Yarrowia lipolytica: one gene and its partner. The protein of the gene in region 1 binds, or shares a complex with, the protein of each later gene. Links are inferred from orthologs where the notes say so. Each region holds a gene or a part of one and is shown on either strand. Other genes may lie near its edges.

Evidence for each region. The genes of interacting proteins can lie anywhere in the genome.
Region 2: YALI1_E15274g (region 1) and YALI1_F13579g share a complex: the UniProt entries of both Saccharomyces cerevisiae proteins name them as parts of the mitochondrial large ribosomal subunit. The link is inferred for Yarrowia lipolytica from reciprocal best matches to the Saccharomyces cerevisiae genes MRP20 and MRPL6.

Annotation. Positions count from the first base shown.
Region 1 is NC_090774.1:1,524,022-1,529,714, forward strand, and holds YALI1_E15274g (mitochondrial 54S ribosomal protein uL23m), read left to right. Parts: upstream 1-3,363; coding exon 3,364-4,152; downstream 4,153-5,693. Other genes in the region: YALI1_E15256g (uncharacterized protein), read left to right, coding at 1,590-3,107; YALI1_E15318g (uncharacterized protein), read right to left, coding at 4,602-5,693. UniProt on the Saccharomyces cerevisiae protein: Component of the mitochondrial ribosome (mitoribosome), a dedicated translation machinery responsible for the synthesis of mitochondrial genome-encoded proteins, including at least some of the essential transmembrane subunits of the mitochondrial respiratory chain.
Region 2 is NC_090775.1:1,354,534-1,359,989, forward strand, and holds YALI1_F13579g (mitochondrial 54S ribosomal protein uL6m), read left to right. Parts: upstream 1-3,441; coding exon 3,442-4,053; downstream 4,054-5,456. Other genes in the region: YALI1_F13550g (uncharacterized protein), read left to right, coding at 487-2,937; YALI1_F13597g (uncharacterized protein), read right to left, coding at 4,505-5,176. UniProt on the Saccharomyces cerevisiae protein: Component of the mitochondrial ribosome (mitoribosome), a dedicated translation machinery responsible for the synthesis of mitochondrial genome-encoded proteins, including at least some of the essential transmembrane subunits of the mitochondrial respiratory chain.

The DNA.
Region 1 (5,693 bases):
CTTAGTCTGGGGCTACTTGCACTACCTGTGGTACGAGAATGGTAGCGCCTGAAAGAGTGTTATTTTAGCGTCAATTGGATAAATGCATTTCAATCTTCTTTATTATTATTATGTATTATTGTTGTTATTGTCAGATATGTGTTCGCATCAAACACCTACTTGCTACAGTGTGTATTCCACGGTGCCCCTCCAGAACTCCAGTATGTAGTGATGTGCACTTGGAGATGTTTGAAACTAGCGAGTTGACTTCAGAAACGACTTTCCTGACTCCCCATAAGAACTCCCTATAAGTAAAAGTGGTTATTGACTACGAGTACGGCACTCATAATTGTAAATATTGTAGTCGCTTGTCTAAAACTCCTAAATGACGTCATGGCCCACCACTGAACCCTCAACGGCCCATCAATCATCTAATCACACACTACAAATGTAGTACTTCCAGTCGGCCTCTTCAGCTCTCCGACGCTGATCGGCGAATTCCGGTCCGTGTTTCACCGTTAGCCGTGTCACGGAAGAGATCTGAATACCGCCAACCATCGAAATTCTTGCACCCGCTCTTGCAGTAAATACGTGCAGATATGTACTCAACCTGTCTACTTGTACCGAAGATTCTGCATCTGCACCTACTTGTCTGGTTTACTAGTTGGCCCCCCAATGGCCCACACACACATCCAATCTCCCACCTTCCTCATTCATTCAATCATACCCCCCCATTTTCATCCCGTGGGTGCCCCACAACCCAATCCTACCGTGTCTAACGTAAACGTGTATTGACCATGGTGGGGTTACATACGGACGTGAGACAGGCAATGGAGTGGTGATGTGGTTCATGCTGAGTAAGAAATGGGATTTACGCGGTCCAAATTGCTCTGCGCTATTTGTAGAACAAACATATTGCTCTCAAACCCCTCACATAATGTCTACACCCGCCAAAACCTGTACAGACTCCTTTCTTCCTCACTCCACATGATCAAGTCACGCCGTTTCAATCTCACTTATGGTTATGCACAAGCGAGCTAAATATAGACGCATAACTAAATGTGAGTGTGAGTATATACTGTTTGTACAGTATGTACACGACACAGCCAGGAACATAGCCCACGCTGCGATAATTGGGACGTACAGTCATGATTATGAGACTTGAAATTACCGCGCGGCATACTGGAGGCGGAAATAATCGACTTTTCATCACCACAAAATATCCCCATTCACTCTCAATACACCCGTCTCTAATAACCGATGGTACATTCGTAACCTACGAACCAACGACAGTGTAACCTAAGATATACCGCAGAGACAAGTCCGAGATAAGAGGACGCTTGGCAGCAAACTACGCCACAGGCAGTCGGGGAGACGCCAAAGCGCGCCATGTCGTCTGTCCTTCGCCCACACCGCCTCTCCAGAGAGTCAGCCAAGCCCCGAGCCCCTTGTTTTGCACATCCACCAACAAGCTCTAATTAAACTACCGACCTAGTAGCGCGCTAGGGATGCAAGCAAAAAATCTAGCTCCGGAGGTCTAGCCCGAGGCTGGCAGTTTATAATGTTGGGGTGGTGTCTCTGGCGCTGCAATTGATTCCACTCGACGAAAAATGGGAATCAAAGGCTACTTTAGCACTATGAGAGAGCGGTTCACGCCGCTGACGTTGGACCAGATCGGCAAAGGTGTTGTCTTCGTGGACGGGCACATCATGGCCCACCAAATCGCCAACATGGTTGATCCAGGCAGCCGTTACGACATGCGTGGCGTGGCCATGAAGTTGGAGGAGCTCTTCAACTGTTGGATCGGCCAACACAAATGGGATATTCAGCTCGTGCTGTTTGACGGCCTGGTGCCCACAGACAAAATGGACGGCAGACGCAAACGGGCCATGGAGTCCCTCCCCACGGCTCTGCATGCCCAGAGTCTCGCTCTGACCGTTCTTTGTGGAGCTCTGTGTCTCGATACGATCCAGTCCAAGTTCCCAAATGTCCCGTGCTTGGTGTCTCCAGGCGAGGCAGACCGGGATCTGGCCTGTCTGGTCTTCAACTACGCCAAACTGAACTCCAACAAGGCCGTTCACATCATCTCCAACGACTCAGGTTTCTGCGCGTTCGACTTTCCGGAAAACGTGCACGTTGTCAACACCCTGGTAGGAGGGTTGGAGAACTCGGTTCTGTATGCCCTACCAGTCTCACGAACAGTCGCCAACTGGATCGGAGTCAAACCTACCCTACTGGCATACTCTGTCATGAAACACAGTGGAAAGGGACCTTCACAAGCGAAAAAGTACGAGGAGGAAGAGGGGTACCTAGAGTTTTCACAACAGCAACAACAGCTGCTAGCCAAGGCCAGTTACTCATCTGTAGGCGAATATCTCGCCGAACCTGTCACTCGAAGAGCATACCAGATCTTTGGCCAACAGCACGACGAGTTGTTAATGCATACAGCTGCGAACGCATGGATCGAGTATGGATACGGATACGTGCTGCTACCCGTCATGTGTGAGCCCAAGGAGTTTGAGTATGCCTTTGACGCTGGACGAAGGTGGCGATCTGTGGCGTACGAGATCTGTGCCCAGAGACTGATGCAGGTGTTCCCCGAAAAGGACTTTGTGACATCTCATGTGCGTGAGTTTGTGCGGATTGGAGAAACGTTAGGAGAGATGGACGTGCCTATTACCGACCACGAGAGAGCAAGATACAACAAGACCGGTTCACATTACCAGCTGTTCCAAAAGGAGGAGCTTTTGCGAGCGGTCAAGACGTGGAAGACTTCGGATCTGATCAACGCCATTTGGATAGAAATCATGGCCACGTCTCCCAACGTCCGAAACACCAAACTTGAATTTGACGCCCATCACATGAGGGATAGGGTGGTCAAGTACTTGAAGGAAGCATGGAACGACGAGGGAGTGTTTGCTCTGCGAAGGTACTCACGAAAGGAGCGTAAGTTGATGGCCCGCAAGTCGTGCGCAATGGAAGCAACGGATCGTCGGTTCTACAACAAGCTGTTGGCCTGTTTCCAGAGCTTGCGAATGCTTCAAGCTGTGGGAGTCACGTTCCCAGTCGATGTTCATTTGTTTGATCTTGATGGAACTCGATGGATGTCTATGACCAAGTCGAAGTGACAAAACAACCGAGCCAAGTATTTATATATGTGACAATAGATGATTACAATTTTAACTTGTTGTACAAGTATCTCTGAGTAGCCGAAGTATTAGTAGATTTTTATATATGCATATATTGTAATCGAACCAACAACCACACAGCCAAACGCACTTGCCCTCACCTCCTCAAACCCTAACCGCAGTGAAAAATACTGCATGGCTCTGGGCCGACTGGGATCAAGAAAGCTTTCAAACACCCGAAACACATACACACAAAATGCGACTTTCCGGGGTGTCTCGATTCGGCGCAACGGTCGCCAAGTTACAGCGACCTACCATCACTCTGCCCACCAAGCAGGCCTCCGGCATCGACGCCAACAAGTACAAGGGCGGGCTGCCTCTGCATCGACCCTTGAACCAGGAAGAGCGAGTTGCCAAGCTGGAGCAGGGCATCGAGTCTGGCGACGCCCATTTCGCGCTGGGTAAGCGGGAGGTGTGGTTCCCTAAGGAGCAGGTTATTCTTGTGCGACCCAATGCCAAGCTGACCCCCTACCAGGCGTCCTTTCTCACTCCTCTGCACATGAACAAGATGGAACTGCGAGACTACCTGTACAACGTCTACGGTCTGCGAGCGCTCAACGTGCGGTCCGTGGTTTTCCCCGCCGCATTTGAGCGAGAAAACCCCACCCGACCCCGATACCGAAAGCGAATGATCAAGAAGATGACTATTGAGATGGAGGAGCCCTTTGTGTGGCCCGAGGACACTGACGGCTTTCTGGCCAAGATGGAGGAGTCGGCAAGAGAGACCAAGAAGCTCATGGACGAGGTCACCGGCCTTGATTCCCTTGGGTCCAGTCGAGATCGACCCTCTACTGCCTTTGGGGGAATTATGGGCCCCTACAAGAAGGCCGGATCACCTTTCGTGGCCCAGAAGGTGGCATCCAAGCTTGGCGGCTCCAAGCGACGAGAGGCCGAGGCCGAGGCTCAGCAGGAGAAGATGCGAAACATCGCCTTCTACCTGGCCAAGAACAAGCAGGCTGGCATTCCCCAGCCTAAGACAAACTAGTCTCTGTATATAGAAAGGATATGTTATGATAGCAAACACTGTAGAGAGTGAGAATGAGTATGGGAATGCAGAGAATGAATATGCTCAACATGTTATCTATTACGAGCATACTATTACCATCACGTCTATAAGGAAACATTAGATGAGTGTACACTGGGTTGTTACAGTACAACTACAGCAAAGTGTTGAACATGAGTTCATATCACAAGTACAGCAGCTAGAAGTACGTATCTTACGAAGTAATACTTGACCTGATAGATTGAGCATGTACAATCGTCGATGCTCACTTGGATGATCTGCTTAACCATAAAGGCGAAATGCGGTGTTACTGTAAACACCCAATCGTCTACAAAGGTCTCCCCCATTCATGTCCATACCTCCAATAATATTATATATACAGCTAACGCGTTCCTTTTCCTTCGCATCGCCACTGTGCGCCACAGTTTTCCTTATAAGAAACCCCGGAAAGAGTTGATCTTCTTGGATTCGCTCTTTCTAGCAGCATTCTGCCATCCTCCCCGCCCTCGAGCTCGTGGCCGAGAAGAGTCCTCATCCTGAGATGTAGAGTGCGAATGCGAAGGAGGCTGGGGCTGGGGGATGTTAGTAGCAGATGTTGCGTGGCTGCCGTGGCCTCCAAAGTTCATGCCCAAGTGCTCAACTGCAGGAGAAGGTGTCTTCGAGTTGCCTCCAATGGGCACTCCTCGGTAGTAAGCCGAGTCCGAGCCGGCTAAAGACGCTGACGACTGCTTGGTGGTTCTGTGGGAGTTCCCAGAAGACTCTCCAATGGACTCCACGTCGTAACCAAGCAGACTCTTTTGGTTAGTGTTGTTGAACAGCTCACCAGCGCCAGGAGACAGGTTCTCGGCCTCTGAAGACGCGGCGTATGTTCGGAATCGTTCGTCCAGATCTTGGTACCGCTGAGACAGCTCTTGATGACTAACTGACAGCTGATGGTACCGATTTTCAGCCTCCTGTTTGATAGTCTCAAGCATCTCGAGCACCTTGTGTGAGGGCTGAGTCTGCTTTTCAATGTTTGTCATCTGCTCTTCAAGTTCTGCGATCTCGCCTCGCAACCGTTTCTCCATTGTTTCCTTCTCGTGTTTCAGGACTCCTAAGTCAATCTTAGTTTTCTCCAGCTCAATGTGAAGATCTGAGTTGGACGATTGTGTCTCGGAGCCCCGTATGTTGTCAGATGAAGATTCGGCGGAGGCCTCGAGGCTTTTCAGCTTGTCTCTATACTCGTTAATCAATCGATTCTCATTTTCCAGAGATTCGACCTTGAGCTCCAGCTGTGTGACAGCAGCCTCCTTGGCCATAGCTGCAGCATACAGTCTCTGGTTCTCAGCCTGCATGTGCTCAAACTCGAGGTTGGTTTTGGCAGTTTCCTCAGTCAGCGCGTCACACTGAAGACGCAGTTCTCGGTTACGTTTTGTCAGCGTACCTTCGTGCTGTACCTTTTGTGTTCTTAGCGTGTTTCCGAGCTCTTTCATCTTCACCAACTGCGAGTTGAGCTGCTCAGACTGACGCTTGAGCTTTTGATT
Region 2 (5,456 bases), on another chromosome or scaffold:
TTGCTGGCCCAAGTACTTATATACTCGTAGCTACTTATGTACTGTACAGAAATCATTCACTCACACAGCACCGACACTCAGCACAGCAACACGACTCGTTCACCTCAGTCCACCGGCTGTCACATTCTCCTACCGCTGTCACATTCTCCTACAAGTAGTCGTTCGCTACCGCCGCCACCGTGCATCACTCTCCCTCTGCCATTAATTAACTGCTACAATACTGAAATTAGCACCGTCACGATACAGTCCCATAAAGCACTCGGGACCAGCCCAAATCCAAATTCGGAGGCCATACAAGAGTCGCAAACGGACCGAAAAGAGGCCGAAAAGGGCATTTGAAGACTCCAACCGCCTTTATCGTCGTCAATAGTGTCCCAAACCGCTTGTCCCCCCCAAACTCGACCTCATTCACCGACTTTTCAGGCTCATTTACCGACTCAGTCTCATTTACCCCTGCCCCTCCCTACAGTGTGTACATGCATAATCATGTTCACCTCCAGAGTTTCCGAAGCAAGCACCACCAACTTTATCCGGCCGACGGCACGGTCTCACATCCACTTTTTTTTCGCCTTCATCGCCGCAACCGTCCACCAACTGCTGCTCATGCTCTACCAACTGCTTGGAGACGGCTACCTCAAGTCGTTTGTCGACACAGGTATCACGCTGGCCCAACAGTCGGGGCTTTCGGGTATCGTCAACGCCTTGACTTCAGAGGCCAAACTGCGGATCGATAAACGGTCCATCATCAAAAAGCTGCTAGAGGACCAGGAAAACGCCGAGTCGTACTTTGACTGGCTCAAGGCGTCCAGCGAACTCGACTATCTGCTCGGCAACCAGGAATGGAAGGAAAGAGACGAGTGTCCAGCTTACGATTACGAATACGTCCGACTCCGATTGGACGAACTGAGACACGCCCGAACCAATAACGACACCACCCGACTGCTTTACCTCGTGCGAACAACGTGGAGTAGAAACCTCGGCAACCTCGGAGACGTCAAGCTCTACCACAACTCCTTTACCGGAACCAAACGACTCATCGAAGACTACATTCTGGAATGCGAACTGGCTCTCAACGCGCTCCTGGCAGCCGGAAACGACAAGATCCCGGACCAGGAGCTGCTCACGGAGCTGCTCAACACCAGAAAGGCATTTGGACGAACTGCCCTTCTGCTGTCCGGCGGAGGATGTCTCGGTCTGCTCCACACCGGTGTTCTCCAGGCCCTCTCAGACACATCGCTCTTGCCCCACGTCATATCGGGTTCGTCGGCAGGCTCAATCATGGCCGCGGGACTGTGCATTCACAAAGACGAAGAACACGAGGCTTTCATCACCGAGCTCATGGAGCGAGACTTTGACATTTTCGAAGAGTCCGGAAACGAAGACACGGTGCTCGAACGAGTGTCTCGAATGCTCAAACATGGATCGCTACTCGACAACAGATATATGCAGGACACTATGCGAGAATTATTTGGCGACATGACCTTTCTGGAGGCCTACAACCGGACTCGCCGTATTCTCAACGTTACGGTATCGTCTGCTGGCATCTACGAAATGCCTCGTTTGCTCAACTACCTGACGGCCCCCAACGTACTCATTTGGTCGGCTGTCTGCGCCTCCTGCTCGGTGCCTCTCATTTTCAATGCCTACACTCTGCTTGAAAAGGAGCCCAAAACAGGAGCTATTCAGACCTGGAACGCTTCTTCGCTGCGGTTCATTGACGGATCCGTCTATGCCGACGTGCCCATTGCGCGTCTCTCAGAAATGTTCAATGTAAATCATTTCATTGTCTCGCAGGTAAACCCTCACGTTGCTCCTTTCCTCAAGCTCACAGAAGACAAGGCCAACCCGGACTCGGTCGACGAAATCTACACGCTCAAGCTTTGGCACAACTTCAAGACGCTGGTCACCGACGAGGTCATGCACCAGTTGCAGGTGCTGTACGAGTTTGGCATCTTCAAGAACCTGTGTTCGAAAATGGGAGGCGTACTGTCCCAGCGATACAAGGGAGACATCACAATCCTGCCCCAGGTCCATCTCTCAGAGCTCCCGGGAATTCTTACTAACCCCACTGCCGCATACATGAAGGACACCAACCGACGAGGTGCCCAGGCCACTTATCGAAAGATCTCGCTCATTCGAAACCACTGTGCCATTGAGTTGGCGCTGGATCGAGCTATCCACGAACTCAAGGCCCGTATGCTCCCCTCCAAGCTTGGATCAGGACGTACATCCCCGCAAGGTACTTTTAAGCATTCGCAGTCGTCCAACCAGATTTCTGCGCTCAAACCTCCTTCTCGTCACATGTCTGCTTCATCGGCAACCACAGCACATACGCGTCTTCGGAACCGAAAGTCGTTTTCTCATGCACGTATCAAGAGTGATGCGGCCGCTGTGTTCGACAAGGAGCCTATTCACGAGACGCCCAAGTCGTCGCCTCAGAGCTCGTATGTCAACTTGCACCGATCTGCAAGTGAGCGGTCGAGACGACCCAAGTCTGCATTCAATCTGGGCTCTCTGCCGACCTCTCCTCTTTATCATCCGCATCTGACCCACTCCATGTCTATGGGGGGAGCCAATCAGGCGCCTCTGTACAATCCTGGGCGCGGTTCTGTGTCTCAGAACACCTCCCCTGGGACCAAAATCCCCGGAAACGCTGATCCGTCGTACTTTGATGGACCCAACAATGTGCGTTTCCACTGGGACAGCGACGACGACGATGTGCGAGAGACGGAGTTCCTCAACAACATGTCTTCGTCGTCTTCACGAAGAGTTTCTCCTGTCCAGAGTCGTCGAGCCAGTGTTGATGGACTGCGAAACTCTGTCGTATCCACCGCCACCAGTGTCACCGACGGTTCCGTGTCCAGCAGACCGTCCCGAGCGTGGGAGAGCATTTCCCAGCTGTTTGAAGGGGACGAGAACTGTTCTGACTCGTGCTAACCTGTGGCATGGCTAACGTTGATATACAATAGACAGTATCGGTATCGATATGACAATACATTTTGGGTAGATGAGCGATCGAAGATAGAACCAGCAACTACTAATACGCCTACGGTTAAGGCTTTCATGAGCATTTGCAGCTTATGATTGTTGTTACAGTATTTTTTCTTTCTTTCTTCTGTTTCTTGTTTCTTCTCAACTAGAGTTCACTAAAGTTGCTTTTGTTAGTTGGAATTAGTTGGGGATAATATACAGTCTTATTTGATCGACTTTACCTGAGATTTGGGCGGCAAATAACTTGATGAACCCTTCCAAATGGTCTATTGAGGGATTCTATTTTCCTAATATTCTCTTATTGCATCATTACTTATTGGTAGGCTGTTTCTGGTCAATTACATAGTGCATATAAAGTTCAAGTTAGCACCTGCGGGAATCGAACCGCAGCGTGAAAAAACTACACCTCTTGATCCATCGCCAATCATCCAGATCATCTCACACACAAAAATGCTGCGAACCCGTGCCTTTTCCACGTCGGCGCGAGTGCTGAGCTACATTGGAAAGCAGCCCATTCTCGTTCCCGAGTCGGTGACGCTGCAGATCTCGCCCACTGAGGTGGTGGTTGAGGGTCCTCTGGGACGAGTCCAGATGTCCAAGCCGACTTTTGTCAACATTGCATCGTCCCAGGACACCATGAGCTCCGGCTCTGTGCTGTCTGTGTCGGTTAACGACGCCACCAACAAGACGCAGCGAGCCATGTGGGGCACCATGCGAGGCCTCATCAACAACCATGTGACTGGTGTGACTGATGGCCATGTCGCTCTTCTGACCTTGGTGGGAACTGGATACCGAGCTGGAGTCGAGAAGGACGCCCACACCGGCGCTCCCATTGTCTCCGTTCGATGCGGTTTCTCCCACCCCATCAACTTTGTCATTCCTGCTGGCATCGAGGTGACTACACCCATCCCCACTCGAATTCTCATCAAGGGCGCTGACAAACAGCAGGTCAAGCTGTTTGGAGCTTCCATTCGACTCAAGCGACCCCCGGAGCCTTACAAGGGCAAGGGAATCTACCTCGACGACGAGACCATCACCCGAAAGGCCACCAAGGTGAAATAAATGTAAATAGATTGGTTATGAAAAGATTTGACACGACACCAGTAGCATGTGGCTTCTGTTGAGGTTAGCATGAATCGCGCAACCAACAAACCTGTAGAAACAGAACCTGTACTTGTACAGTAGCGCACGCCGCTTTGGCTATACCCTCGCATGACATATCTCGAACGATACCCCGACAAGAGGCGATGACAAGGATACCAACTCGTCTGAATGAGTATCTGAGTCTGACAGTCCGATAAGATACCGAAGCAGTTCTCGTACTACAGGCTAATGTATATATCATATCCAACAAACGGCTCGCTCTAGAGACTCTCATTATTGATATTATCCCAAAATGGATCCATAGGCCGCTACATTCACGTCTACAACTCAAGCAGGCTAGTCATTCTATGTACATAAGCTGAATGTCGACAGTAGCGTCGCATTCTAGGATTCGTCAACATGACAAGGTCTAGTTAACAAGATGTTCCTCCTCATCAATGATGAGGGGATCAATGAGTGAGTCGGCCAGGTTGACGACTCGTCCGTCTGGGAAGGTCAGAGACCACTCGAGCACTCGGAACTTTTCTCGGCCGGAGGCTCGTCGCGAGTTGAAATGCATGATGGCCTCGGCCTTGTTTCCCTTGACGGGGAAGGAGAAGTCCACCTTTCCAACAAGAGGACGAATGGTTCCCGACACCCAGGTGTAGGCACTGGCGAATCGGATACCCGAGCCCAGCTCCTCGTTGGCCAGGGGCGACTTTCGGAGCGTGTACATGCAAGATGAGACCTGCGAAGACGACATCTTCTCGTAGTTGAAGGAGAAGGCCAGAGACACGGTCATGATGACCACAAACAGACCAAATCCGGCCCATCGGCGCATCTTGTGGCTGGTAATGTTAGGCAGCTCCGTGTCCACGGTGACAGGTGCATTGGGCACCTTTTCGGGCGTGAACGGCTCAAAGGTGTGGCCCTCGTAACGTCGCAGGTTTCGGTCTTCGGGCAGCAGCTTTTCGTCGTCCTTCTTGGCGTCGGTCGACTGCTGGTGGAGCCACAGACGGCTGGTTGTGGACAGGGGTCGGGCGACCGAGAGAGGTCGCAGCAACGAAGGCAGAGCTCGTTGGGGACGCAGTAGTCGAAGCATTGTGTGAGTGTGTGCGAGGTGTGTGGTGGACTGCTCTGATATTGTAAGACGTACGGTATATTTGCTTTTATAGTTTGTATGGGTGTGGGTAGAAGGAGCTCTCCAAAGACCACCAGTAGCAGGTGTTTGGGAGCAAGTTGCACCGGAAAGAACTAACAGAGAGATTTGCACTGTAGATGTGGGTTGGTTTATGGGCAATTGGGGGGAAAAAGACCCCTATCGATGGTCATACTGTCCGCTTAAGATTACTTTCACCTCAGATTAACTTACTTAACAAACA